Anolis sagrei: one gene and its partners. The protein of the gene in region 1 purifies or fractionates together with the protein of each later gene. This does not show direct contact. Links are inferred from orthologs where the notes say so. Each region holds a gene or a part of one and is shown on either strand. Other genes may lie near its edges. The genes, in order: CTBP1, AMPD2, ZNF516 and TRPS1.

What was found.
Region 2: the proteins of CTBP1 (region 1) and AMPD2 purify together in Homo sapiens (affinity purification with mass spectrometry; 3 studies listed by BioGRID and IntAct, with this or other methods). This does not show direct contact. The link is inferred for Anolis sagrei from reciprocal best matches to the Homo sapiens genes CTBP1 and AMPD2.
Region 3: the proteins of CTBP1 (region 1) and ZNF516 purify together in Homo sapiens (co-immunoprecipitation; 4 studies listed by BioGRID and IntAct, counting the BioPlex papers as one, with this or other methods). This does not show direct contact. The link is inferred for Anolis sagrei from reciprocal best matches to the Homo sapiens genes CTBP1 and ZNF516.
Region 4: the proteins of CTBP1 (region 1) and TRPS1 purify together in Homo sapiens (affinity purification with mass spectrometry; 3 studies listed by BioGRID and IntAct, counting the BioPlex papers as one, with this or other methods). This does not show direct contact. The link is inferred for Anolis sagrei from reciprocal best matches to the Homo sapiens genes CTBP1 and TRPS1.

The regions. Positions count from the first base shown.
Region 1 is NC_090023.1:143,542,160-143,549,508, forward strand, and holds the start of CTBP1 (C-terminal-binding protein 1), read left to right. Parts: upstream 1-4,342; 5' UTR 4,343-4,577; coding exon 4,578-4,617; intron 4,618-7,349. UniProt on the Homo sapiens protein: Corepressor targeting diverse transcription regulators such as GLIS2 or BCL6. Has dehydrogenase activity. Involved in controlling the equilibrium between tubular and stacked structures in the Golgi complex.
Region 2 is NC_090024.1:184,411,402-184,418,425, forward strand, and holds the start of AMPD2 (AMP deaminase 2), read right to left. Parts: upstream 3,022-7,024; 5' UTR 2,862-3,021; coding exon 2,768-2,861; intron 1-2,767. UniProt on the Homo sapiens protein: AMP deaminase plays a critical role in energy metabolism. Catalyzes the deamination of AMP to IMP and plays an important role in the purine nucleotide cycle.
Region 3 is NC_090024.1:74,193,071-74,200,440, reverse strand, and holds the start of ZNF516 (zinc finger protein 516), read left to right. Parts: upstream 1-4,354; 5' UTR 4,355-4,600; intron 4,601-7,370. UniProt on the Homo sapiens protein: Transcriptional regulator that binds to the promoter and activates the transcription of genes promoting brown adipose tissue (BAT) differentiation.
Region 4 is NC_090024.1:23,857,699-23,865,253, forward strand, and holds the start of TRPS1 (zinc finger transcription factor Trps1), read left to right. Parts: upstream 1-4,534; 5' UTR 4,535-5,475; intron 5,476-6,282; exon of another isoform or gene 6,283-6,505; intron 6,506-7,555. UniProt on the Homo sapiens protein: Transcriptional repressor. Binds specifically to GATA sequences and represses expression of GATA-regulated genes at selected sites and stages in vertebrate development. Regulates chondrocyte proliferation and differentiation.

The DNA of each region.
Region 1 (7,349 bases):
ACAACTCCCATAAATTCCAGCCAGTTTACCAGCTGTTAGGATTTCTGGGAGTTGGAGGCCAAAACATCTGGGGACCCACAGGTTGAGAATGACTAGTCTAATGGCTATGTGTTTATTTTGCAAGACATGTTGAAGATTTTTCAATGTAAAGATGGGTTTTACATCCTGGACATTCCACAGATATATAAACCTCACTTGCCCAGTTTCCCCTCAGCCTCTGAGAATGCCTGCCATAGACGTGGGCGAAATGTCAGGAGAGAATGCTTCTGGAACATGGCCATACAGCCCAGAAAACTCATAGCAACCCAATTTATTTATCGTGTCAGGAGCGAACCAAACAGTTGTATTGCATTAAAAAAAACCACAAAGTTTGCAAACTTGGCATTCTAGCTGGCCATTTGGAATGCCTCTGGTGTTGCTGCAAGAAGGTCCTCCATTGTGCATGTGGCTGGGCTCAGGCTGCATTGTAATAGGTGGTCTATGGTTTGCTCTTCTCCAACTGGCATGTCGTGGATTCCACTTTGTAGCCCAGTGTTTCCCAACCTTCCTAATGCCGTGACCCCTTAATACAGTTCCTCGCGTTGTGATGACCTCCAACCATAACATTATTTTTGTTGCTACTTCATAACTATCATTTTGCTACTGTTATGAATCATAATGTAAATATCTGATATTTATTTTCATTCACTGGACCAAATACGGCACAAATACTCAATATGCCCATATCTGAAAACTGGTGGGGTTTGGGGGGGGGGGGGTTGATTTTGTCATTTGGGAGTTGTAGTTGCTGGGATTTATAGTTCACCTACAATCAAAGAGCATTTTGAACTCCCCCAATGACAGAATTGAACAAAACTTGGCACACAGAACTCCCATGACCAACAGAAAATACTGGAAGGATTTGGTGGGCATTGATCTTGAGTTTGGGAGTTATAGTTCACCTATATCCAGAGAGTACAATGGACTCAAACAATGATGGATCTGGACCAAACTTGACACGAATACTCAATATGCCCAAATGTGATCACTGGTGGAATTTGGGGGAAATAGACCTTGACATTTTGAAGTTGTAGTTACTGGGATTTATAGTTCACCTACGATCAAAGAGCATTCTGAACCTCACCAAACTTCTCACACAATACCCCCACGGTCAACATAAAATACTGTGGTTTCTGATGGCCTTTGGTGACCCCTCTGACACCCCCTTGCGACCCACCCAGGGTTCCGACCCCCAGGTTGCGAAACACTGTTGTAGCCCCATTTCTTAAGGTTGGCTCTGCATCTCGTGGTGCCAGAGCACAGTCTGCTCAGCACCTTCCAAGTCGCCCAGTTTTGTGTGTGCCCAGGAGGGAGTCTCTCATTTGGTATCAACCATTAATTCAGGTTCTGGGTTTTAGCCTGCCACTTTTGGACTCGCTTGATGAGGTGTTCCTGCGAGTGTCCCAATGTGCATACAGATTGGAATTCCAAAGACCAGAACTACTCCAGATTCCAAAATTGTCTACTCTGGTGGGGGGGCTTGTTGCTACTAAAGGTTTGCAACGTACTTTTCTTAAGTTTTGGAAAGGATCAGAGCTGTTTCTGTTACAGCTGACACAGTTAATTATTGGGATAATTAAGTGTATTGTTATCTCATGTGTGTTTGTACTTTAAGTATTGCATTGTATTTGAGTTTTGCATTATCCGTGTTGGAGTTTTGCATTCTTTGTGTTGGAGTATTGTGTTCTACGTGTTTGAGCATTGTGTTTGTATGCTTTGCTTGGGGCTCGGTTTGAGTTGAAAAACCTTTGTTTGTTTGATGCCGAGAGAAGTTACTGCAAGCGTCCAGAGCTGAAAATAAGGCAGCAAGTCAAGGTCACTCTACGGACAACTGACTAAGGGAGACTGCATATCAACGCGGAATGAAGAGAACTCACCGAAGATATTGTTTTATGTTATGTTTTTGGTGAGAGCAATTCTTCTATTTTGTTTTGTATGCTGTGAATACAACTTCGTTTCTTTTCTACTTAAAGCTGAAGACTCATGTGTTTTTCTTTTATGAATTACACACTAGCTGTACCCACCATGCGTTACTGTGGCCAATCTTACATCTCTCCTTCCTTCCTTCCTTCCTTCCTTCCTTCCTTCCTTTCTCTCCTTCCTTCCTTCTCTTCTCTTCTCTTCTCTTCTCTTCTCTTCTCTTCTCTTCTCTTCTCTTCTTCCCTTCCTTCCCCCACCTTTTCTTTCCCATTCTTTCTCCCCTTTCTTCCTTCTCTACTTACTCTTGGACTGCACCTCCTAGCAGTCCTCCTGATCCATCCATCCATCTATCTACCTTACCTATCTGGAGGATTGCTGGGAGTTGCAGTCCAAGAATAGGAAATTGCAAGTATGCAGGGATTGGGATGCTCTTTAAAAAATCTAAGAAGAAAGCTTGCAGCTTGGAAACACTGCATTTGGATCATCCCCCTCTCTTAAAAGGCCTGGTCTAGGGGATGCTGGGAGCAATAGTCCGAAAGAGAGTGTGGAATTGCTATTGTGTGGGTATTTTTGCCGGGGGAGTCGTTTTTGTGCATGCTCTGTAGCATCTTTTTGCTTTTTTGGCTTTTTAAGTCCCAATGTGTTTTTCAGTGTTTTTATGAGTGATGGTCACTTGTTGGCCTGATGGGTGTATTGTGTCCAAATTTGGTGTCAATTCGTCCAGTGGTTTTTGGCTTATGTTAATCCCACAAACTAACATTACATTTTTATTAATATACTAGCTGTCCCCTGCCACGCTTTGCTGTGGCCTAGTCTGTGTATATGTTTGTGTGTATATATATTTGTATATGTGTGTGTTTATATTTGTGTATATATGTGTGTTTGTGTATATATGTGCTTTTGCGCATGCGTTGTAATGTGTGTGTGTGTGTTTTTTTTGCTTTTTAAGTCTCATCCACTGTGTTTTTTTGTGTTTTTATGGGTGATGGTCACTTGTTGGCATGAGGGGTGTCTTGTGTCCAAATTTTGTGTCAATTTGTCCAGTGGGTTTTGAGTTATGTTAATCCCACAAATTAACACATTTTTATTTATATAGATTTTTATTAATATAGACTAACTGTCCCCTGTCACGCACTGCTGTGGCCCAGTCTGTGTATATGTGTTTTGTGTGTGTGCATATATGTGTGTATATGTGTATGTTTGTGTATATATATGTGGTTTTGCGCATGCGTTATGTAATTATTGTTTTTGGCTTTTAAAGTCTCTTCTGCTGTGTTTTTCAGTGTTTTTATGAGTGATGGTCACTCGTTGGTCTAATAGGTGTATTGTGTCCAAATTTAGTGTCAATTCATCTAGTGGTTTTTGAGTTCTGTTAATCCCACAAACGAACATTACATTTGTATTGTCGAAGGCTTTCATGGCTGGAATCACTGGGTTGTTGTAGGTTTTCCGGGCTATATGGCCATGTTCCAGAAGCATTGCAAAGGTGTCCCTGCCTCAGCCTTGTCAGCATTTACATAAGTAGCCCGCAGGCTGACTTTACCCTTGTAGTAACTATATAAATAAAAATGTAATGCTCGGTTGTTGTAGGTTTTCCGGGCTATATGGCCATGTTCTAGAGGCAGTTTCTCCTGACATTTCGCCTGCATCTATGGCAAGCATTCTCAGAGGTAGTGAGGTCTGTTGGAAGTAGGAAAATGGGTTTATATATCTGTGGAATGACCGGGGTGGGACAAAGGACTTTTGTCTGCTGGAGCTAGGTGTGAATGTTTCAACTGATCACCTTGATTAGCATTTGATGGCCTGGCAGTGCCTGGGGGAATCTTTTGTTGAGAGGTGATTAGATGTCCTTGTTTGTTTCCTCTCTGTTGTTGTGTCGTTGGCCTAATAGGTGTATTGTGTCCAAATTTAGTGTCAATTCGTCCAGTGGTTTTTGCGTTCTGTTAATCCCACAAACAAACATGACATTTTTATTTATATAGAGTTATTACAAGGGTAAAGTCAGTCTGCAGGCTACTTATATAAACGCCGACAAGGCTGAGGCAGGGGCACCTTTGCTATCTGATATTTGCTATCTGCACAAAGTTATTGTAAATATTGTTTTTTTTTAAAAAAATTCAGGCCGTCTACGGTGAAGATGAACCGTGAATGAAAACCGTGTTTGGAGGAGGGTCCCATCTCGTCGGGGCAATGAATCAGGCGGGGAGGCGGCCCTCCTTCCCTCCCTCCCTCCAGAGGTGGGGTCCTTCTGCCTCCGAAAAGGGGCGGGGCGGAGGCCACGCCTCCTCCTCCTCTTCCCCTTCCTCCCGCGCGCACGCCAGCTTCCCTTTCCTTCCCTCCCTCCCTCCTCTCCGGCTCCACATCCGGCCAGCAGACAAGAGAGCAAGCGCGAGCCCAGCCCGGCCCCGCCCCTGCCTGCGCGCGCCTCCTCCTCCTCCTGCTCCCCCCTCCCTCCCTGATCGCGGAGCCTCAGTGCGAGGGCTCGGAGGGAGGGGCCGGGCGGGGAGGGAAGGCAAAGGAAAGGAAAGAAGGGGGCGAGGGAGCCGCCGGGGCCGCCATATGCTCCGAATCGCGCCCGAGCAGACCCCGCTGGAGCCCTGCCCCTGAGAGGCCTCTCGATGGGCAGCTCCCACTTGCTCAACAAGGGCCTGCCGCTCGGTAAGGCGCCGCCGCTGCCTCGGGTTTGCTGTGCCTGTTTCTCCCGCCTCGCGCACGGAGGGAAGGGAGGGGTGGGGGAAGGAGGAGGAGAAGGCCCCTCGCGCTTTGTGAGGCATTGTGTCCCCTCCTGCTTCCCCTCAGAAGCTGAGGAGTAGGCCGCAGGGAGGACATTGGGGGAGGGGGGGCTCTGCTTCGGCCTGGCCTCGCTCTCCGCTGGGGCCTTTCCCCGTGAACACAGCCCTTTGGGGAGGGGGCTCGCTGGAGGCCGGTTTCCGGTTGCGCCCCCAAAGGCTGAATATGGTTATTGGGCGCCGCTGGGAGGGTCCAAGGCCTGGCGCCTCTTGCCTCGCTCGGGAAAGTTTGATGTCGTCCCCTTTTGTCCTTCCTCCTTCCCTTCCTTCCTGGCACCGCCTGGGCCCGGTTTCGAGCCGCCCCTTCCCTCCCTCCTTTCCTCCAGGGGGCCGTTTGTGCCAAGATGGAGGAGGAGGAGGAAGAAGCCGAGCTCCCGCTTCCTCACCTCTGGGGGGCTCCCTGACTTCCTGGCTGTCTCGCTGCCCTCCCTTTTGATCCATCTTCTGTCTCTCCCTCTTGGCCATCCAACCAAGGGAGCGTGGAGCGCAGGGCTGCTCTTTCGATGCCGGCTTGGAGTGGGCATTGTTCTTAGGAAGCCATGTAAGGGCCTTGTGGTCAAGAGGGCTTTTAATAAAATAATAATAGTAATACTTTATTTATACCCCGCTACCATCTCCCCAAGGGACTCGGTGCGGCTTACATGAGGCCAAGCCCACCGCACATCAATAAACAAAACATCAATAAACAAACAATCAATACAATACAATTCATATAAATCACATTAACAAAAAATAGGCAATAAACAATCAACAGTGACATACAAGCATTTAAATCCAATGGTTGGGCCAAATGTAATAGATTAAAATTAAAAAATAATTCTGACGTGAGCAAGGTAGGATATAACTGGGATAGGATTTTCAGAGAGAATTGAGGGAATGCAGTCATTCCTAAATCAGTGGTAAAGTGCATTTTGAGGGCACATTGCTGAGAGTTTTCCTTATTCTGGGAAGGCACACTGGCACAACCACGCTTTTGTTTACAGCCACCCATCAACAGAGAGGCCATCTAGACTACCATATAACGCAGTTTAGAACTACTTTACGTGGCCAGTGTTGACTCCTATAACTCACTTATTAGGACCTCCTCACACTAGAGCAGTGGTTCTCAACCTTCCTAATGCTGTGACCCCTTAATATAGTCCCTCATGTTGTGGTGACTCCCAACCATAAAATTGTTTTAATTGCTACTTCATAACTATAATTCTGGAACTGTTATGAATCATAATGTAAATATCTGATATGCGTGATGTATTTTCATTCACTGGACCAAATTTGGCACAAATACCCGATATGCCCAAATTTGAATACTGGTGGGGTTGGGGGAGATTGATTTTGTCATTTGGGGGTTGTAGTTGCTAGGATTTATAGTTAAACCTACCATCAAAGAGCATTCTGAACTCCAGCAATGATGGAATTGAACCAAACTTGGCACACAGAACTCCCATGACCAACAGCAGATACTGGAAAGGTTTGGTGGACATTGACCTTGAGTTTTGGAGTTGTAGTTCACCTACATCCAAAGAGTACTGTGGGTTCAGACAAAGGTGGATCTGGACCAAACGTGGCATGGATATTCAATATACCCAAATGTGAATACTGGTGGAGTTTGGGGAAAATAGACCTTGACATTTTGAAGTTGTAGTTACTGGGATTTATAGTTTACCTACAATCAAAGAGTATTCTGAACCCCACCAATAGAATTGGGCCAAACTTCCTACACAAAACTCCCATGACCAACAGAAAATACTATGTTTTCTGATGGTCTTTGGTGACCCATCTGACCCCCCCCCCCCCCCGGATCCTGACCCCAAGGTTGAGAAACACTGCACTTAGAGAATGAATCCACTTTAAATCCGGTTGCTGCCTCCTGCAGAATTCTGGGGTTTGTAGTTTAGGGACAAGTCTTTAACAGCCTCACTAAACTACAAATCCCAGAATTCTGCAGGAGACACAAACTGGATTCATTCTCTAGTGCAGGCAAACTTCAGCTCTCTAGGTATTTTGGACGTCCAACTCCCAAAATTCCTAACAGCTGGAGTCCAAGACACCCAGAGGGCCAAAGTTTGTCCATGCCTGCTCTAGTGTGATGAAGTAGACAGGCTGCATTATATGACTCTACACAGACCATATAGTGCAGTTTCAAACTGCATTATAGGGCAGGGTAGATGAGGTCCCGAGGCTGGATCTACACTGATCTATATCCCAGAACCTGATCTCAGATTATCTGCTTTGAATTGGATTTATTTCTTTACTATATTTATACCATGCTCTTCTCACCTCAAAGAGGACTCAGGGTGGCTTACATCATAGCAAAATTCAATGCTGCATTATACATACTAAATATAACATATCAAATTATAAAACTATTAAAACATATAAATACAATAAGTAAAGCCCCCCCCCCCCTTAACATTAAGTCTAGTTGAGTCCGACTGTGGGGTGGTACTCATCCAAGGTGATGTGGCCAGCATGACTGCATGGAGTGCCATTACCTTCCTGCCAAAGCAGTACCTACTCACACTTGCATATTTTCGAGCTGCTAGGTTGGCAGAAGCTGAGGCTAATAACGGGAGCCCACCCTGCTCCCCAGATTTGAACCTC
Region 2 (7,024 bases), on another chromosome or scaffold:
TAATATATATGAGGGCCTTTAGATTCTTTATTAGCATGTTATATTTCTGAAATCGAATACTGCTGTTTTATCCACAGCAATGACTATATTTCATTGTTTTTACAAGGGGGTACTGTGAATTTATGATGTTGTGTTGATTGTTTATTGTCTAGTCATATGTTTTGTTTTGCACTTGTTGCATTTTGCATGTCATACCTTGAGTGTTTTGTGAGCCGCCCCGAGTTCCTCTGGGAAATGGTGGTGGGATATAAAGAAAAGATTCTTCTTCTTCTTTTTCTTCTTCTTATTATTAACTTATGGTGACCCCATAAAATCCATAGAGTATTCTTAGGCAAGACATAACCAGAGATGGTTCCGCCAGTTCAGTCCTCTGAAACAGTTTGCAGGACCTGTACATGGCCTTCCATCCAAGTACTAAGCAGAACGGACACTGCTTAACTTCCAAGATCAGACAAGAGCCGGTGGCTTTAGGGCAGAGATCCCCAACCTTTTTTTGACCAAAGACCATTTGACCAAGGGGGCCATATGACCAGGGACCACTTTGACCACTCTCCAACATTAGTACCAAAAGGATTACGAATCTGTTTTTGGTCAACTTTAGATTCGGTTTGGTTATTTGGGGTGCTAATTCAGAAAATTACATTGGATAGACCACATCAGCTCGAGTTTCTGATACAGAACATAGGCCACCCAGTAGTTGCCATCTGCTCGCCCACAGAAAACCATATTTAATTAGCCTTGGCACTATAAGAGGGTTTCGCGAGACCAGTCACCCTTATTGCAACAGTGTAGTAATAGTGAGGCCACAGACCATATTTTAGTTCATGTGGACCACTGGTTGGGAACCACTGCTGTAGGGGATTTAAGCCTCTGGCATATAGAACATATTTTTTGTCATGTCAGGAGCAACTTGAGAAACTGCAAGTCGCTTCTGGTGTGAGAGAATTGGCAATCTGCAAGGACATCACCCAGGGGATGCCTGGATGTTTTGATGTTTTATCACCCTTGTGGGAGGCTTCTCTCATGTCCCCACATGAGGAGCTGGAGCTGATAGAGGGAGCTCATCCGCACCCTCCCTGGATTCGAACCTGTGACCTGTCAGTCTTCAGTCCTGCCGGCACAGGGGTTTAACCCACTGCACCACTGGGGGCTCCTATATAGAGCATTAAAGGTCAGGACCAGGAGCCAGACATGATCAGGGAATTGGACTGGATGGCCCATGAGGTATCTTCCAACTCTATGATTCTATAAGTGCCTTTAGGGATTTTACTGCACATTCACAGAGGGACCCACCTCTGAACATGCTTTGTTTTTATACATGAATCCTAAAAGACCCTTGTAAAGATGTGAAAGACCTGTATCCCATCACACCTTGAAGACAAAGGTCGCAATGTGCATCTTTCTGAATTACATCACTGGCCGACACACAAATAAAACTCATTTCTGGGTATGTTTCATCTGACGGTTCCAAAAACGGCACCAGTCTTCCCCTATCAGCTCGAGTTTGTGAGATGAAGAACATACGCCATATACCAGTTGCCATCTGATCACCCATAGAAAATCACAACAACCTTATCTAAGAAACTATGGCCGATGTGGTTTATCTGACGCTATTTTCCGAATCAGTGGTTCAAATAACCCTAGGAACGTGCCTAAAAACCAAGACACCAAGAAATAAGATTTCTGCTTGGGCTGTGCAATCTACGTCACAGATGGATAAGATTAAGAATTGAAGGGTTTTATATCATTCTATATCAAGATGGGCAAACTTGGGCCCTCCAGATGTTTGGACTTCAACTCCCACCATTCCCAACAGCCTCAGGCCACTTAAGCAGCTGAAGGGGAAAAGGAAAGGGCCTGAGGCTGTTAGGAATGGTGGGAGTTGGAAGTCCAAAATGTCTGGACTTGTCAGTCTTCAGTCCTGCCAGCACAAGGCTTTAACAAGGGTTTATTGTTTTTAAATGTTGATTGCACTTCTGTGTTTGTTTTTAATCTGTATTTGCTGGGAACGTCCCTTGTAAACGCCCTAAGTCCCTTTGGAGAGATGGAGGTGAGGAATAAAAATAAAATTATTATTATTATCATCCCACTGTGCCACAGGTGGCTGCATTCTCTTGAATGTTGGTGGACAGGGGGAAAAAAAATTAAAGATGGGCTGAAAGCCAACCTTAAAAGCTGTGATATAGACACTGAGTACGGGGAAGCCCTGGCTCTTGAGAACTCTAACTGGAGGTCAGCTGTGACCAGCAGTGCTGCAGAATTCGAAGCGGCACAAATGGAGGGCGAAAGGGAGAAGCATGCCAAGAGGAAGGTGCATCAAGGGAAAAGGAAAGGGCCTGAGGCTGCTAGGAATGGTGGGAGTTGAAGTACAAAGCACCCAGGTCTGTTCTACAGAAACAGTGAAGTTGGTCACTTCAATGCCATGGCTCAATTCTACTGGATTCTGGAAATTTGGTGATGCACCAGCCCTCTTTGGTAGAGAAGGCTACAGATCTTGTCAAGCTACAGTTGATTGCACTGCCTTGAGCCATGGCTGCAAAGCGGTGTCAAACTGCATTAATTCTACAGTACAGATGCACCCAAGTCTGCTCAGCCAAGCATCCAACCAACCCAAGGAGCAGCCATTAGCCTATGGAAGAAGGAAACACAGCAGGGAAATGCAGAAGAAGGGAGGGGGGAGGAATTGGGGTGCTTTATCATGAAGAGAACCCCCCCCTAGCTTGGGAAAAGAGGGCTGGGGGAGGAAATGCCATCTTCCCACGCTCACCTCCTCCGCCTCCTCCTCCTCCCACGACGGCTTGAAGGCTGGCCCGCTTTCTTAAAGGAGAGCCGCTCTTCGGGGGCGCCGCTCCAGACGACATCTTGCTCCCTCCCAATGCTTCCAAGAGAAGCCCCTCAAAGGCAGGCTCCGGACACTGGGCGAAGGGGCGGGGCCTCCGCTAAGCCCCGCCTCCTCTAGGGATGATGGACAGGCGGGGAGGAAGCGAGCCGGCGATGGGCGCAGGAGGAGCTCCGGCGTTGGATCTCTCTTGACTTCCTCCGCCTCAAGACGCAGCGGATGGGAGGGAGAAGCAAAGAGGAGGCCTGAAGCCCAGCCCCCTCCTCCTCCAGCTGCATTCCTCACGGGCACGAGCTGCGTGGGTCCTTTAGCAACCCTCTGCATCTACACTGCACAATGAGCGCGGTCTGACACCGCTTTAAAATGCCCTGGCTTGATGCCTGGGGTTTTTAATTGAGTGAGGCACCAGCACTCCTGGGTAGAGAAAGCTTTGTACAGCAACAACCCCCACGACTCTTTAGCACTGAGCCCTGACAGCTAAAGTAGTGTCAAACTGTATTAAGTCTGCAATGTAGATGCAACTCCAGACCTTTTGTGTGTGTGTGTGTCAAGAACGACTTTGAGAAACTTCAAGTTGCTTCTGGTGTGAGAGAATTGGTTGTCTGCGAGGACATTGCCCAGAGGATGTTTTGATGTTTTATCATCCTTGTGGGGGACTTCTCCCATGTTCCCGCATGGAGAGCTGGAGCTGACAGAGGGAGCTCATCCACGTTCTCCCCAGATTTGTACCTCCGACTTGTCAGTCTTCAGTCCTGCCGACACAAGGCTTTAACCAGGGTATATTGTTTTTAAATGTTGACTGCATTTCTGTGTTTGTTTTTAATCTGTATTTGCTGGGCACATCCCTTATAAGCCGCCCTAAGTCCCTTCAGGGAGATGGAGGCTGAGGGGGAAAGGGAAGGGGCCTGGGGCTGTTAGGAATGGTGGGAGTTGAAGTCCAAAACATTGGGAGGGCCAAAGTTTGGCCAGGCCTGCTATAGACTCAGGTTTCACGTTACAGTTGTGTGCCGCACCAACACACTGCAGCCGACACATTGGCGTGTCACGACAGTTTGGAAACTTCTGCCTTCATTGCTGATGCCCTCCCACTTCTATGCAAGCATTGCAAGGACAGTTTGATTATAATGCTTTCTTTGGTTCTGAATAAAATAATTAGTCTAAAAAAAACAACATGATGGGGAGGCTGCTCTCACTCCCAGTTGGTATTCTCTGCCTTAAAAAGCAAGTACACCTGTTGAATATCCCAGGTTCAAGCCATCCTGAAAGCAAGCTTGAGTCCTCTTTGCCAAAGGGACTCCAGGCTTCTGAAGCCCGGGCTGGCATTTTCAGGAGAAGGCCAAGCTGCAACCTCAAAGCTGGGCCAGCAACAGAGTCTCTCCAAGTATTGTAGGGCACCTCATCATCATCATCCACCCATGCAATGTGTTGGCAGATCATGACTCCCTGGTGACTATTTTGAAAAGCATTACTCTACCCTGCCTACCTAGTGGCCAGGAGTGATGGGAGCTGCCACCCCAAAATATTTGAAAGGCCACAAAAGCCAGTGCTATGGTGTCTGCATAGGATACATTTACCCTGCAGAAGAAATGCAGTTTGACACCACTCTAACTATCAAGACTCAATGCTATATAATTATGGGACTTACAGTTTTACAAGGTCTTCAGCCCTCTTTGCTAAAGAGTGCTGGTGTCCCGCCAAACTACACCTCCCAGGATTCTACAGCACTGAACCGTAGCAGTAAAGATGGTGGCAGACTGCATTGCTTCTCCAGTGGTGAGGTGCCTCAAAAACATATTGTGGCACTTCCTTTGGCTTTGGAGGGCAGCCCACTTGAGGAAGAGCCTAATGCCCTAAAGCAGTGGGTCCCAACTTGTGATCCGTGGACCACAAGTGGTCTGCAAGAACTAAAATATGGTCCACAGCTTCACTGTTACTACCATTGCAAAGAGAGTGACTGGTCTTGCGAAACTTCTTATAGTGCTGAAGCTTATTAAATATGGCTTTCTGTGGGAGAGCAGATGGCAACTACTGGATGGCCTATGTTTTGTGTCAGAAACTAGAGCTGATGTGGTCTATCCAATGCAATTTTCTGAATCAGCATCCCAAATAACCAAGCCAAATCTAAAGTTTACCAAAAACTGATTTGTAGCCCTTTTGGTACTAATGTTGGAGAGTGGTCAAGTTGTCCCTGGTGAAAAAAGGTTGAGAACCACTGCCCTAAAGGTACCAGATCCCATCTGATCTTGGATGCTAAGCAGGAACAGCTCTGGTTAGTACTTGGATGGAAACCCAACAATGAATGCCAAGTTCAGTAGGCTCTATTTCAAAGGAAGGAACTGGCAAACCATTTCTGAGTAGTCCCTTTTGGAAAACCTTATGAAATTAATGGGATTGTTATAAGTTGACAGTATCTTAATGACACATACACACATCACTGGAGAAGTATCCGCATTACATTGTTACATCAGTTTCTCACTACTTTGTATAACCATGTGATCTGAAACCATGTTAAGGAATCTGGGGTGTGGGGCCCTTCCACACAGCCATATAACCCAGAATATCAATACTTACCTCTCCGAACGCATCTCCTCCTATGAACCGACTAGGACATTAAGATCGTCTGGGGAGGCCCTGCTCTCGGTCCCGCCTACATCGCAGGCGCGGTTGGCGGGGACGAGGGACAGGGCCTTCTCGGTGGTGGCCCCTCGGCTGTGGAACGCCCTACCTGTGGACATCAGACAGGCCCCTTCATTGCTGGCATTCCGGAGGAAGGTCAAGACTTGGCTTTACGAACAAGCATTTGGCTAAATACTGCAATGAATACACGAAGATGGTACAACTGAACATAGGATTTGGTAAAGGATTATGATTACGGATTCTGATTCTGATTTGTTTGCTGAGGCCTATGATAATGATTGTTTGTTTTGGTGTAATTTGTATAATTTGCTTTTAATTGTCTTTTTGATATTGTTGTGATGATCTTTACTGTGTAAACCACCTTGAGTCGCCATTTCGGCGGAGAAAGGCAGTATAGAAGTAAAGCAAATAAATAAATAAATAAATCATAGAATCATAGAATCAAAGAGTTGGAAGAGACCTCATGGGCCATCCAGTCCAACCCCCTGCCAAGAAGCAGGAATATTGCATTCAAATCACCCCTGACAGATGGCCATCCAGCCTCTGCTTAAAAGCTTCCAAAGAGGGAGCCTCCACCACACTCCGGGGCAGAGAGTTCCACTGCTGAACGGCTCTCACAGTCAGGAAGTTCTTCCTAATGTTCAGATGGAATCTCCTCTCTTGTAGTTTGAAGCCATTGTTCCGCGTCCTAGTCTCCAAGGAAGCAGAAAACAAGCTTGCTCCCTCCTCCCTGTGGCTTCCTCTCACATATTTATACATGGCTATCATATCTCCTCTCAGCCTTCTCTTCTTCAGGCTAAACATGCCCAGTTCCCCAAGCCGCTCCTCATAGGGCTTGTTCTCCAGACCCTTGATCATTTTAGTCGCCCTCCTCTGGACACATTCCAGCTTGTCAATATCAATAAATAAATCAAGGTAGAAAACCCCACAATATATGCTTTGAACTGAGTTATCGGAGTCCACATTACTATATATTCCAGTTCAAAGCAGATAATGTGGGAAGATCATGTTATTCAGCTGTGTGGAAGAGGCCGTGGAGTTCAAAGGAGTGAACCAGACAGTGGTTCCTCCAGATCTTTAAAATTTCAGCCCAGGACACCTGGGAAATGTTCAAGGATTCTGGGAGCTGAAGTCCAAAATACCTGAAAGATGATAGAGAGAATGAATTATCTCCAAGGGAGAATCTGAAGTACTTCATTGAACTGTACATCCCACGAGACCTTAAAATAGAGCTATTGGTGGCTATAATTGTATAGTCAGATACACCTCCTAAATAATGGGGTCAGAACTGCTTACTCCTGCCTCTAACCAGGACAAGTGTAATTTGGACACCGCACTTATGAACCACCTTCAATCCACCTGCATCTAAGCAGTAGAATGAATTCAGTCTGACACCATTTTAATTGTCATGGTTTTGTGATATGGAATCAAGGGGATTTGTATCTTGGTAAGGCTCCAGCATTCTTTGGCAAAGAAGGCTAAAGGCCTTGTAAAAGTACAACAACCACGATTTCACAGCACTGAGCCATGGAAGTTAAAGTGGTGTCA
Region 3 (7,370 bases), on another chromosome or scaffold:
AATAATAATAATAGAGTAAAATAATAACTAACCTTGACTCAAGTGAAAGCTGAGGGGGACTTTTTCAGCCTAAAAAAAGGGCTGAAAAACTAGGCTTATACTCAAGTATATTCAGTAGTTTCCAGTTGCTTGAGAATATTGTTTCTGGCTGCTATTAAAAATAGGCCTAACTACTACTTTAACCTATATTATACCATACCATAAACTATGTATTGACTTGATCTAAATATTGAAACAAAGCAATAAAAGCAAATAAAAACAAAGAAAGACAAGCATATCTTAATGTAACAGTTTTACTGTATTATAAAAGTAGTTTTGTAAATGCATTATTATATATTGATTTTTTTTTGCTAGTTGCTTGACAGTTTCGGTTACTTGAGTTCTGGTTAGCTGAGAATCTACTGCTTGGAATATTCCACACAGGAATTCATTAAGAGATCTCTTTCATTATTGTCCATTTTATTTTCAGGAGAACAATGGCAACTTAATAGCACATACATGACGGAGCCCACATTAAATAACTGTAATTGAATTTTACTGAATTTTAATTTTTTACACTCATGATACAAATATATGGTTCTTTTGAATTTTTAAATTCATGTCTATGTATTTGCCTTGTTTTAAAATTCTTTTGTATTGTGTCATGTCATTCTCAGCCATCTTGAGTGGAGAGAAAGGTGGGATACTACTTCCCAATAATAATATTTAAAAATTAAATAACTGCATCTGTCTAGAGGTTAGACACATACTCTTGTCAGTGAACGTATAGCATAGTTTTCCTATGGGGAGAAATATGAGATAAAACAAAGTAAATCATAATTATAAAGCATCTCCCTCTATGAACCAACTCGGAGGTTAATATCGTCTGACGAGGTCCTCCTCTCGGTCCCACCTTTTTCACAGGCACAACTGGTGGGGATGAGGGACAAGGCCTTCTCAGTGGTTGCCCCTTGATTATGGAACCCCCCTCCCCAGCGAAATCAGGTCATCTTCCACCCCCCTACCTTCAGAAAGCATGAAACAACGTGGCCTTGGGACCAAGCCTTTGGTCAATAGTGAAGTGCAGTAAGTGATTATGGAAAATGTGCTAAGACAATTGGAATGGCTTTTTGACTATGATCTCAGATTGCGTAGTTTTAATAATGTGTTTTAATCTTTATATGATTTTAAAAGTGGCTTCCAGATGGTGCAGTGGGTTAAACTGCTGATCTTGCTGACCAAAAGGTTGGCGGTTTGAATCCGGGGAGCAGGATGAGCTCCCACAGTTAGTCCCAGCTTCTGCCAACCTAGCAGTTTGAAAACATGCAAATGTGAGTAGATCAATAGGTAATGCCACTCCATGCAGTCATGATGGCCACATGACCTTGGAGGCATCTACAGACAATGCCGGCTCTACAGCTTAGAAATGGAGATGAGCACCACCCCCCAGAGTCAGACACGACTAGACTGAATGTCACAGGAAATCATTTACCTTTACTTTTATGATTTTAAACTCATGTTTCAATGGATATGTTTATTTTATGTCTGTTGTGTACCTGGCATCAAATTGTTGCCTTTGTAAGGCCACTCTGAGTCCCTGTCAGGGCTGAGAAGGGCAGGGTATAAATACTGTAAATAAATACAAAAATAAAATATTTATAATAATAATAATATGTAAAAATAGAACAGAAGCTAAACGTGTACTTTTTTCAGTATGTGTACATGTAAACATATAGGATAATTTTGCTATGAGAAGAAAGATGGGATAAAAAGAAAATAAATAATTATAATAAGCAACATTATTTAAAAATAGAACAGAGGCTAAACACATACTTTTGTCAGTGTGTGTACATGTGAACATATAGGATTGTTTCCATATGGGAAGAAAGATGAGATAAAAATAAAGTAAATAATAATAATAATAATAATATTTTATTTAAATATAGAACAGAGGCTAAATGTGTACTTTTCTCAGCGTGCGTACATGTAAACATATAGGAAAGTTTCCCTATGAGAAGAAAGATGGGATAAAAATAAAGTAAATAATAATAATAATAGTAGTAGTAGTAATTACTATTTTATTCAAAAATCGGTTAAACCCTTTTTTTGTCAGTGTATGTACATGTGAACATATAGGATAGTCTCCCTATGGGAAGAAAGATGGGAGAAAAATAAATAATTATAATCGTAATAATTTTATTTAAAAATAGAACAGAGGCTAAATGCATACTTTTCTCAGTGTGCCTACATGTGAACATATAGGATGGTTTCCCTATGGGAAGAAAAATGGGATAAAATAATAATAATAATAATAATAATAAATTTTAAAATAGGTCAAACGCTTACTTTTCTCAGTGTGTGTACATGTGAACATATGGGATGGTTTCCCTATTTGGAGAAAAATTGGTTAAAATAAAGTAAATAATAATAATAATAATAATAATAATAATTGTTGTTGTTTATTCGTTCAATCGCTTCCGAATCTTCATGGCCTCATGTACCAGCCCACGCCAGAACTATATAATAATAATTTTATTTAAAACCAGAACAGAGGCTAAACACGTACTTATTTAAGAATAGGTTAAATCCTTCCTTTTGTACATATTAGTTTCTCTATGGGAAGAAAGTTGGGATAATAATAATGATAATAATAATAATAATTTTATTAAAAATTAGTTAAATGCTTACTTTTGTCACTGTGTGTACATGTGAACATATAGGATAGTTTCTCTATGGGAAGAAAGATGGGATAAAAATAAATAATTATAATAAGCAATAATATTATTTAAAAATTGAACAGAGACTAAACACATACTTTTATCAGTGTGTGTACATGTGAACATATAGGATAGTTTCCCTATGGGAAGGAAGATGGGATAAAAATAAAGAAAAAAATTATTTAAAAATAGAAGAGGCTAAACACAAACTTTTCTCAGTCTGTCTACATGTGAACATATAGGATAGTTTCCCTATGGGAAGAAAGTTGGGTAAAAAAAATCATATTTATTTAAAAACAGAACACATACTTTTATTACTGTCTGTACATGTGAGCATATAGGGTAGCTCCCCTATGAGAAGAAAGTTGGGTAAAAATAAATTATTATTATTATTATTAATAATAATAATAATAATAATAATAATTTAAAATAGAACACATAGTTTTATTACTGTCTGTACATGTGAACATATAAGATTGCTTCCCTATAGGAAGAAAGTTAGGTAAAATAAATAATAATAATAATAATAATAATAATAATAATAATAATTTAAAAATAGAACACACACTTTTATTACTGTCTGTACATGTGAACATATAGGATAGCTTCCCTATGAGAAGAAAATTGGGTAAAACTAAATAATAATAATAATAATAATAATAATAATAATAATAATAATTTAAAAATAGAACACATAGTTTTATTATGTGAACATATAGGATAGCTTCCCTATGGGAAGAAAATTGGGTAAAAATAAATAATAATAATAATTTTATTTATTTATTTATTTGTCGTGTCAGAGCAACCAGTCCATTATACTACATTTCTAACAGAACAAAGCAAACAGACAGAAAAATACACAACTTGTGAGAAGCGACCAGCATAATAATAATAATAATTATTATTATTATTTAAAAATAGAACACATACTCATTATATGTGAACACAGAACCTCATTACCTCTGAGGATGCTTGCCATAGATGCAGGCGAAACGTCAGGAGAAAAATTGCCTCCAGAACATGGCCATATAGCCCGGAAAAACCTACAACAACCCAGAACACATACTTCTGTTATGTGAACATATAGGATAGCTTCCCTATGGGAAGAAAATTGGGTAAAAATAAATAATAATAATAATAATTATTATTATTATTATTTAAAAATAGAACACATACTTTTGTTATGTGACCATATAGAATAGTTTCCCTATAGGAAGAAAATTGGGTAAATTATTATTATTATTATTTAAAAATAGAACACATACTTTTATTATGTGAACATAGCTTCCCTATGGGAAGAAAGTTGGGTAAAAATACATGATGATGATGATGATGATTGTCCCTAAAGCCAGAAGGCATACTTTTGTGCCGGCGTGCCCATGTGCCCCTCGAGGCCGGTTTCCCCTTCCTGCTGTTCCCTTGACTCCTTTGGGCAGAAGCGCTGCCCTGCTAATGAATCCTCCCCATTAGGGGAACAATTGCCGAGACGGGACTCATTTGGGGGCCACCGAGCCTCTCCCCGCCTTAGACAAGAACTTTGTGCTGATGAGACAATAGTAGACAGTGTGTGCATTTCAGAGAGGAGAGACCATTCCGCCGCCGGGGGGGGGGAGAGGGGAGACCTCCCCTTGTACATTGAAAGAGGGGCGGGCAAAAGGGGCCGAAGGAGAGCCTCCAGGTCGGGCTGGAAAGGCGCCGGGAAAGTTGGGGTTAGCGGGGAGTGCAGGTTTGCGGGGAGGCGGAGAGTTCTCCCCAAGCGCCCCCCCCTCCCTGCTGGGCCGAGTGGAGCCGCCGCCGTGCATCATGTGCCGCTCTTTCCTGATTGCAGGCAGCGCGTGGTTTCACCTTCAGGTTCTGCTGTGGACGCGTCCTTCTCTTTAAGCCATCACCTCAACCGCCTGAAGGTAAGGGGCATTTGGAAGAAACCATTTCTTCCCGGGGGGAGGAGAGAGAGAGAGGGATGTTGCTCTTCGGCCATTGGGGAGGGGAGGGGGAGAGAAATATGCCCAATGCGCCCGTGGGGGAAAACTTTCCAATTAATAGTTCATCCCGCTCCCTAATTGGAGGGAGCTTTCCAAGGATCACTACTTGGGGGGGGGGGGGGGGGGGTTGAAACAGTTCCTAAATCAATAGATCCTGGTGTGTAAAGAGTGGGGAAGGATACGTTGTATATGGATTTATTATATAGAGTCTCTTTTGTATCTTTGGTCAAAAGGAAAACGGGGGGGGGGGGGGGGAGATCAGGAATATAACATAACTCCCACCCATTAAGGATGGGTTGGGTTGGAATGGAAAGCAGAGAAACCCAATTGGGAAAATTAATTAAATAAATAAAAATAATTAAAAATTTCCATTAAGGATGGGTTGGAATGGAAAGCAGAGGGACCCAATTGGGAACATTAAAAATATGTTTTGTTTTGTTTTTTTTAAAAAAATAAAATTAAAATTAAAAAAATTAAAAAAGGGACCTAATTAGGACCAAAATAGTTGTTTCCAGGAGGAAAAAAGGGAATCTTTATAGAGGGCATGAGGAGAGAGAGAAGGAAGGAGGAGGAGGTGGGGAAAGGAAATAATGCAGACATTTTGACCTATGGAACCCTCCTCCTCCTCCTCCCCCTCTGGCCCCTCCCATCTCCACCCCAAATTAGCATAAGAGTGGCAAGCAATCCTTTGAATGCAGTGGTTGCGACAAGTTGGAAGAAACTTTGAAAGCAGTGGCAACTCTTCTTCATCACTAGAGAAGAAATCCACTTCAAATCCGAGTTTCTGCCTCCTGCAGGATTATGGGCTTTGTAGTTTAGAAGAAAATCATAGAGTTGGAAAAGACCTCATGGGCCATCCAGTCCAACCCCCTGCCAAGAAGCAGGAAAATTCAAAGCACTCCTGACAGATGGCCATCCAGCCTCTGTGTAAAAGCTTCTAAAGAAAGAGCCTCCACCACACCCTGGGGCATAGAGTTCCACTGCTGAACAGCTCTCACAGTCAGGAAGTTCTTCCTAATGTTCAGGTGGAGTCTCCTTTCTTGTAGTTTAAAGCCATTGTTCCACGTCCTAGACTACAGGGCAGCAGAAAACAAGCTTGGTAATAGTATGAAAGCTGGGCCCCGAAGCTCTCAGCATTACGCTGTTTCCACTTCACTCCTTCGGGAGCGCTGTTTGTGCAACGCAGAACAGAACACAGATATTATAGAAGGAATATAAGAGTTCTTATAAAACCCTATAAAACTACAACTCCCAGGATCCCATAGCACCCTTGGACGGAGAAAGGTGAAAGAAACCCTATGAAACTATGACTCCCAGCATTCCATAGCTCTCTTTGGCAGAGAAGGCTGAACCCCCCCCCCATAAAACTACAACTCCCGCCATTCCATAACACTCTTTGGCGGAGAAAGGTAAAAAAATCAATGAAACGACAACTCCCAGGATCCCATAGCACCCTTTGGCAGTGAAAAAAACTCTATAAAACTATGACTTCCAGCATTCCATAGCTCTTCAATGGAGAAGGGTGAAAAAAAAACCCCATGAAACTACAACTCCCAGGACCCCATAGCACTCTTTGGCAGAGAAGGGCAAAAACCCTATAAAATACAACTCCCAGGATCCCATAGCACTCTTTAGCAGAGATGTGTGAAAAACGGTATCAAACTACAATTCCCAGGATCCCATAGCACTGTGGCAGAGAAAAACCCGTATTAAAACTACAACTCCCAGGATCCCATAGCACTCTTTTGCAGAGAAGCATAATAAAACCCACCTAGGTAAAGGTAAAGGTAGTCCCCTGACATTAAGTCCAGTCATGTCTGACTCTGGGGTGTGGTGCTCATCTCCATTTCTAAGCCGAAGAGCCAGCGTTGTCCGTAGACACCTCCAAGGTCATGTGGCCGGCATGACTGCATGGAGCGCCGTTACCTTCCTGCCGGAGCAGCACCTATTGATCTACTCACATTTGCATGTTTTCGAACTGCTAGGTTGGCAGAAGCTAGGGCTGACAGCGGAAGCTCATGCCGCTCCCCGGAATCGAACCTGCGACCTTTCGATCAACAAGCTCAGCAGCTCAGTGCTTTAACCCACTGCGCCACCGGGGGCTCATAAAAAAAAACCCACCTATAAAACTACAATTCCCAGGATCCCATAGCACTCTTTGGCAAAGAAGCGTCAAAAAATCCACCTATAAAACCACAACTCCCAGGATTTCATGGCACTCTGGCACAGAAGGGCAAAAACCCTATAAAACTACAACTCCCAGGATTCCATAGTACTCTTTGGTGGAGAAGGGTATAAAAAACAAAAGCTGCAACTCCCAGAATTCCATAACACCTTTTGGCAGAAAACGGTGAAAAAACCCTATAAAACTGCAACTCCCAGGATGCCATAGCCTTTAGCCATGGCAGTATAAGGGTTGTCAAACTGCAGTAGCCCTATAGTGCAGATGCATCCATATTTATCACAAAGTCTTTAGCCTTTTCTACCCAAGACTGCTGGTGCTGCCCCAAGCTACAACTTCCAGGATTCAAAAGCATTGAACTATGGCAGTCCGAGTGGTATCAAACTACATTAATCTAACAGTTTAGAGGCATCCTTGTTATTTTTGCATGACTTTGAGGGCGATGTATGTGCTTCATGGTGTCACCTGTGGCACTGGGAATGCAAATAAAAGCCGATGGGAAGCCAGGCG
Region 4 (7,555 bases), on another chromosome or scaffold:
ATGGAACATTTTGCTTAATGTTGCATAAAAGAAATACACCTAATCTTTTAAAATGCCAAAAATAGGATCTTGCGGGTCTCAAGTTCTATGAATGTTCTGCGTTCTTTTCCCCTCTTTTCCAATTTAATCTCTTCTCTTTTTCCTTCTTTATCTTTCTTCTACTACTTTTCAAACTGAAAATCAACCTTTCAGTACCTTAGAACGTATAAGGATCTGTGTCAAAGTCACAAAACCATGGAAGTTTTACTGGAAGAGGAGGTTCTTAGCAGGAAAAATATTTCTCCTACCCAATGAGCAATTTAGGCTGCAATCTGATACACAGTTCTCCAGGAGCTAAAACCCACTGAATGCAGTTACTACAGATAACCATGTTTAAAGAGCAAGCATGTACATCTTGTTGTGTTAGAAAACAGGCTTTGGTCCAAACATATCCTAGGTTTATTCATGAACAGCTCTAGATAGAAAACTGGCTGAGCTATTGATTCTCCCTTGAAACCTTGGAGAGATACTGATAGTTGAAGAAAGTAACGACTTTCCAATGGATCCTTGTAGATTACTCATGATATGAAATGCTTCTGATATCTAAGGCTCTCACATATTTCAAAGTAATTCAGGTTCACCATTCCTTAACTAAAATCCAAAATACACTGAACTCCAAAATTTTCACATAGGTGGTTTTCAGATAGTTCAGCATACATAAACTTCCTTTCTTGCACAAAGATATTAAAGTATTGTATTAATTACCTTCAGGCTATGTGTATAAGGTGTATCCAAAACATAAATGAATTTTACTTCTAGTCTTGGATCTCACTGTTCAAGATACCTCATTATGCACATTTAGGCAAATATGGTACAGACTGAGGCGCCTTCCACACTGCTGTACAAAATCCAGATTAGCTTCTTTGAAGTAGAATATATGGCAGTGTAGACTCAGATAATCCAGTTCAAAGCAGATAATGAGGGTTATCTACCTTGATATTCTGGATTATATGGAAGTGTAGAAAGGCCCTGTGTATCCTTTTTCTGAAGTACTTGGAACCAGAAGTGTTTGGGATTTTGGATTATTTCAGAGTTTGAAGATGAGTCCCAAGTCAACACAAAATTCATTTATCTTTCATATGCAGCTTAGACACAAAGCCTTAATAGTGTACAATATTTTTAATGATTTGTGCATGAAACAAAGTTTGTGCATACTGAATCACCAGAAAGCAAAGGTGTCATTGTCTCATTCATCTATGTGGACAATTTCTGGATGATTTTGTATAAAGATGCTCCTTCTGTATATCCATTTCATTGGCGGACCTCGTTTCTAAATGTGTGCCTTCATCTCTGAAGTAACATATGTACACTTCAGGCAAATATCTATCTTTTTTTGGCCTCCTTATTGGATATGAACAATTTTGGAATTCCAAATAAGGAATGCTCCGCCTATGCTTTTCTTTCAGCGACAGTCCTTGTTTCTAAATGCGTTTATCGATAAATTAGCATATGTAACTTCTAGGCAAACCTCTGTCTCTTTTGCCATCCTTATTGGATGTGAACAATCAGGGCCAGATCAAGACCTTTATAGGCGCTAAGTATTTTAAAGATTTTGGTGCCCTCATAAGCATCTAATTCAAAATATTAACAATAAAATAAATGCATAACATATTTTGGAGTAAACCATGACTTTGGTCCATATAAACAGTTGGGTTGGTTCCAAGACAAAACTGTTTACATGGACATCCTGTTTGGGGACAAGGAATGCTGTCACACCCCCCCCCCCCCCAAAAAAAAATTCTCATCATCGTGGTGGCCAATGGGTGCAAAATGGCTACTGTCTGTTGCTTGCGGCCTGGAATGATGTCAACTGGGACACCAGGGTGATCAGAGAAGCAGGAGGGAATGGAAGGGGCAATTCCTTCTTTCTCTCTCTCCTCTCCCACTTTCTTCTGATGCACCAGCTGATGAGGGATGGCCACTAGCCATGATCCACCCACTAGCCAGCACTACAATAACAGGATAGGTGTAGTCAGGACTTCTTTCTTTGTCTGCAGTGGTATAGGGTGGGTAGGTGGAGAAAGCTGCCGAAAGAACCCCACTCCAGGGCAATGTTGGAGTTCCCATTTTTGCTCTGTGTTTGATTTCACCGCTTTGAGTGTCTTTGAAAGAAAAAAGCAGTCTATAGTAGTAGTAGTAGTAGTAGTAGTAATAATAATAATTCTCTTTCTTTGCCAGCTGAAAGAGGGATTCTGTGCCTTATGAGTGGAGATGGGGTTAAGAGAATCCTACTCAGGGCAAGGCAATAGGATCAATCTCTCTCTCTGGTCTTTTCTACAAAACTATATAAAATCCAGATTATCTGCTTTGAACTGGATTATATAGCAGTGTAAAAAGGTAAAGGTAAAAGTTTCCCCTTGACATTAAGTCTAGTTGTGTCTGATTCTGGGGGATGGTGCTCATATCCATTTCTAAGCCGAAGAGTCGCCGTAGTTTGTAAACATCTCCTGGGTCATGTGGTCAGCATGACTGCATGGAGCGCCGTTAACTTCCCACAGAAGCGGTACCTATTGATCTACTCACATTTGCATGTTTTCAAACTTCTAGGTTGCCAGGACTGAGTTAACAGAGGGAGCTCACCCCACTCCTTGGATTTGAATCACTGACCTTTCACTCAGCAATTTAAGCAGCTCAGTGGTTTACCCCCCTACACCACCAGAGCCCCTGGATATAGCAGCACAGACTTCGTAGATTATCAGAACTGATAATGTGGATTATCTTTTTTGATAATCTGGATTATATGGCAGTGTAGAAGGGGCCTGTTTAAATTCCTCTCCTTCACTGCCCAACTCAAAGGAGAGGTTATGTATATTTTAAAGAATCCCACTCTAGGGCAAGGCTGTAGCTCCTTTTCCCCTTTTTCTCTGTGTTTTGGGTTCATCTCCTGTTTACAACTGAAATGGGAGTTGTGTGTGTTCATGTACATAGGGTCAGAAGAACCCCACCACAGGGCACCACTTTTGGTCTTTGCATTTAGTTCCACTGCTTTAAGATTGAGAGAAAAAAGTGGTATATAATAATAATTATTATTATTATTATAATTATTATTATTATTCTCTTTCTTTCCCCAGCTGAAAAGGTGGGTCTGTTTGTAGGTTGTGCACCTCTCTTTCTGTGCTTCTTAGGGCCACTCTCTTTTGGGTGACTCAAAGGGGGGCCTAAAAAGCCCCTTCTTCCTTCCCTTCCTTCCCTCTTTCTTTCCTTCTGTCCTTCACTTCCTTCATTCCATCCTTCCTTCTTCTCTCCCTGATTTTTTCCTTTCCTTCTTTCTTTGTCTTTTTCTTTCTTCCCTTCTTTATTTCCTGCCCTCTTTCTCTTTTTATTTCTTTCCTTCCTTTTTCCCTTCGGTCTATCTTTCCTTCCTTCTTCTCTTCGGTCTATCTTTCCTTCCTTCTTTCCTTTTCCCTTCCTTCCAAACTTCTTCCCTTTTCCTTTCCTTCTTCCTCCTTCACTCAATTCCTCCTTTCCTTCTGTCTTCCCTTCCTGTTTTCTATCTTCCCTTCCTTCTTTCCTTTTCCCTTCCTTCCATCCTTTCGTAACTTCTTCACTTTTCCCTTCCTCCTTCACCCCATTTGTCCTTCCCTTCCTTCTTCCCTTCCTGCTTTCTATCTTTTCTTCCTTCTTTTCATCCTTCTTTTGTAACTTCTTTACTTCTCCCTTCCTTCTTCCTCCTTCACTCCATTCCACCTTCCCTTCCTTCTTTACTTCTTCCTTCCGCCATTCCTTACTTCTTCCCTCACTTCCTCCCCCTTCTTTCCATCTTCCCTTCTTTCCTTCCTTCTTCCATTCCTTGCTCCCTTCTTCTCTTTCTTTTCCCTTCCTTCCTTCTTTACTTCTTCCCTTCCTTCCTTTACTTCTTATCTCTCCCTCCCTTCTTCCCTTTCTTTTTCCTTCCTTCTTTCTTTACTTCTTCCCTTCCTTTCCATCTTCCCTCTCTACCTTCTTCCCTCCCTCCATTCCTTCTCCTCCCCCCTTCTTTTCCTTCTTCCATTCTTTCTTTACTTCTTCCATCCCTCCCTTCTTTACTTCTTTCCTTTCTCCCTTCTTCCCTTTCTTTTTCCCTTCCTTCCTTCTTTACTTCCTTGCTCTCCCTCCCTTCTTCCCTTTCTTTTTCCCTTCCTTCCTTTACTTCTTCCCTCTCCCTCCCTTCTTCCCTTTCTTTTTCCTTCCTTCCCTTCCTTTACTTCTTCCCTCTCCCTCCCTTCTTCCCTTTTTTCCCCCTTCCTTACTTCTTCCCTCCCTTCTTTCCATCTTCCCTCTCTCCATTCCATCTTTTTCCTTCTTTACTTCTTCCTTTCCTCCCTTCCTTTCCTCCCTCTCTTCCTAGTTTCCTTCCTCCCTCCCTTCCTCTTTCGACCAGCGCGGCTTCTCCTCTCCTCTCCCCTGCCGGGCCGCCTGTGCGAGTGAGAGGCAACGAGGGAGATTGAAGCGGGAGGAGGAGGAGGAGGAGGAGGAAGCCGCGAAGGAGGCGGAGCCGCCGAGTGCCCGCCGGTGGAGGAGGCGGAGGGAGGCCGGGAGAAGGCCGTCCGCGGCGGCGGCAGCAGCAGCAGCAACAGCAGCAGCAACGGGGAGCGGGAGCGAGCGAGAGAGTAGCAGCCGGGGTTGCCTCTTTAAGGCTCTCCTCCGCCCGGGGTGGCGCTTCCCTCCCTCCTTTCCTCTCCCTCCTCCTCCTCCCTCTCTCTCTCTCCCCCTTTGATATTAATAGTGTTGGTGTCTTGAAACTGACGTCATGCAGTCGGAGACTGGAGGTCCTGACAAGCGATAACATTTCTGATAAAGAGCCTCCGCTGGCCATCTCCAAAAAAGAACAGAAAGAAAAAGAGAGAGAGAGAGAGAGAGAGAGAGAAATCTCCTCCTCCTCCTTTTTTTTTAAAGGGGAAGAGAAGAGAGAAGGGCTTGTTTGTTGCAAGAAGAAGCAGCAGCAGCAGCTACTCTGTTTCTTTTTCTTTTTCCTCCTCCTTTCCGCTTTATAAACACATTTTTCCCCTTCTTCTGCGCTTTTGGCGCGTTCCCTTCTTCTTTCCCCCCTTCCTCCTCCTCCTCCTCTTCTCTCTCTGTCCATCCGCAGAAGGAAGGGAGGGAGGGAGGGAGGAGGGTGGCTAAAAGCAAATCCCCCCCTTTTCCTCCTTCTCCTTCTCCCCTATTAACCCCTCTCTTTCTTCCCTCCCTCCTTCCCTCCCTCCTCCTTCCCTTGCTTTTCCTCCTCCTCCTTCCTTCCTTCCTTCCCTCCTTTCCCTCCCTCCTTCTCTCTCTCTCTCCCCCCCCCCCCCCGGGGTGCTTTCTTTTCCCACCTCTTTCCAAAATAATCCAAGCTCAACTCTCTTGCAAACAACAGAAAGACGGTTCATGGCTCAGGCGACAGTTCCACCATCTTTCCAGCGGCTGCGGTTATTATTATTGCTATTATTATTACTATTATTGCTGATCAATCAACAGGTAAGCAAGCAGGGTTTACAGGGAGTGGGAGGGGGCTGCAATTCAAAGGGAGGGGGGAAGAGAAATGGGGTTGTGATCCATGGAGAGGAGAGAGCTGTTGGTGGCTAGCACTTAACACCTTCCTGGCTTTTTGCTCTCTTGGATGTGTATTTTGGTATTATTATGTCCCCCCACTCCTCAAATAATATGTCTATCATCAGAAAGAAAGCAGTGTTTTGGTTTTGTGTATGTCTGTGCTGTGATTTAGGGATTTTTTGGATAAAAGAGGGGGGTTTGTGTGTTGCTTTGCAAAGAAGGCAAAGCAAAGAGCTCCAGTTTCCTAAAGGATGTGTTTTAATGGGTTCTTTAAAATATATATAAAATATAATACAATCTTATTCTCCTCTTCTTCCTCTTCCTTCTCCCCATTTTCCTCCAATCTGTGTTTTTATTTTATTTTGTAATGGGGTCAAAAACATGTGTTGATCTGCAGCACACACAAAATAATAATAATAATGGGAGACTTGGCGGAAAGAAAAAAACTTGCAGGAGGCCTTCTTTGGAGAGAGAGGAGTCAGCAGGGGTCAAGTTCAGCAGCCAAAGGGAAGCCCTTCCCCCTTGGACCCCCCCCCCTTTCCCCAATCCCTTCCCATCCTCCAAAACCAAGAAAAGACAACTTTGGAAGCTGCTGGTGTCTTTCCTGACTCTCCTCCCCTGAGTCCCCTCCTTTTTTTGTGGGTTAAGCTTTGATTTCACTCTCCTCTTTACAGGGGGAAAGTGTGTAAAAGAGGAAAGGGGGGGGGGCACTCTGCTTTTTTCCTCCCTATTGGGTTGCCTTTTTGTTTTGTTTTTTTGCATTGGTAAATATTGCATCCTTCACGTGGGATACCCCACATAATGTGGGATACCCCACTTAAGCCCTTCCCCCTTTTAATTTTGGTCAAACATCCTAGAGTTTTTGCACTTTTTCAGTTTTTTACCCATCCTTTGAAAAGAATGGGGACGGTGGCCAAAAGTCGGGGCTCGGATGGGAGATCATCATGAGAAAGTAGTAAGTTTCTTCCCCCTTCTTGTTGAAAGGAGACTTTGGGTAGTTTTCTGTGTAACTTCTAGAGAAAGGTGTTGAATATATCACTCTTTAGATCAGGGTGGGATTTTTCATCCTGGTCTCTTTTCTCCCCAAAATGTGACACTTTGGTTTGGCTGGCTTCTTTAGAAGGAGTTAGGAAGTTCTTCGAAAAGGCCAGGACCTTGTGCACAGGTTTGCAATAAGTTACTTTATTGAGCGTTCAGTGACTTTTCTCTCCCTCCCCCCATCTTTGTAAAAAACTTGCTTGGATTATGGATGCGTGTGACAGGTTTCTTCATCGTCCCCCCTCCATTAAGGAACTGAATAAATGAAGAGATGGAAACTTCCTAATTAAGAAGGGAAGAATGGATTGTACTTAATCGTAACTTGTGACTGATCCATAATGGTGGTTGGGAAGGAGTTGCTTTATTGAGCGTCCAGTGACTTTTCTCTCCCCCCCCCCCATCTTTGCAAAATACTTGCTTGGATTATGGATATGTGTGACAGGCTTTCTCCCCCCCCCCCCTTTAAGAAACTGAATGAATGAAGAGGTGGAAACTTCCTAATTCTTTAAGAATGGAAGATTGGATTGTACTTAATCGTAACTTGTGATCCATAATGGTGGTTGGGAAGGTTTTGCTATTATAAAAAATCAGCAAGGGGGGTGGGGGAGTTGTTGTTGTTATTATGGCTCCATGAGTCCTCCCCATCTCTGCCTTTGATCTTAAAGGAAAAGTTCATACAACTTTCTAGGACTGTGCTCTTGTAAATCAGGAGAAATTTCCCTCTAACTTCTTGATACTTTTTCAACAAGTTGTCTTGCTTGCGTTGCTAGTTGTGTCTACAATTTCTTCTACTAAAGAAGGTGCCATTCAAGAACTTTTAAGACTTTGTTAGATAAGGTTTCTTTTTCATTTTTAAAGAACTAACACCAACCAGAAGCTCATAAAGCCCCTTTCCCACCCACAAATGTCAAACTCAAATCACTGAGAGAGAGGAGAAAAAAAATCATAGGCCAAACAATGAAGTAAA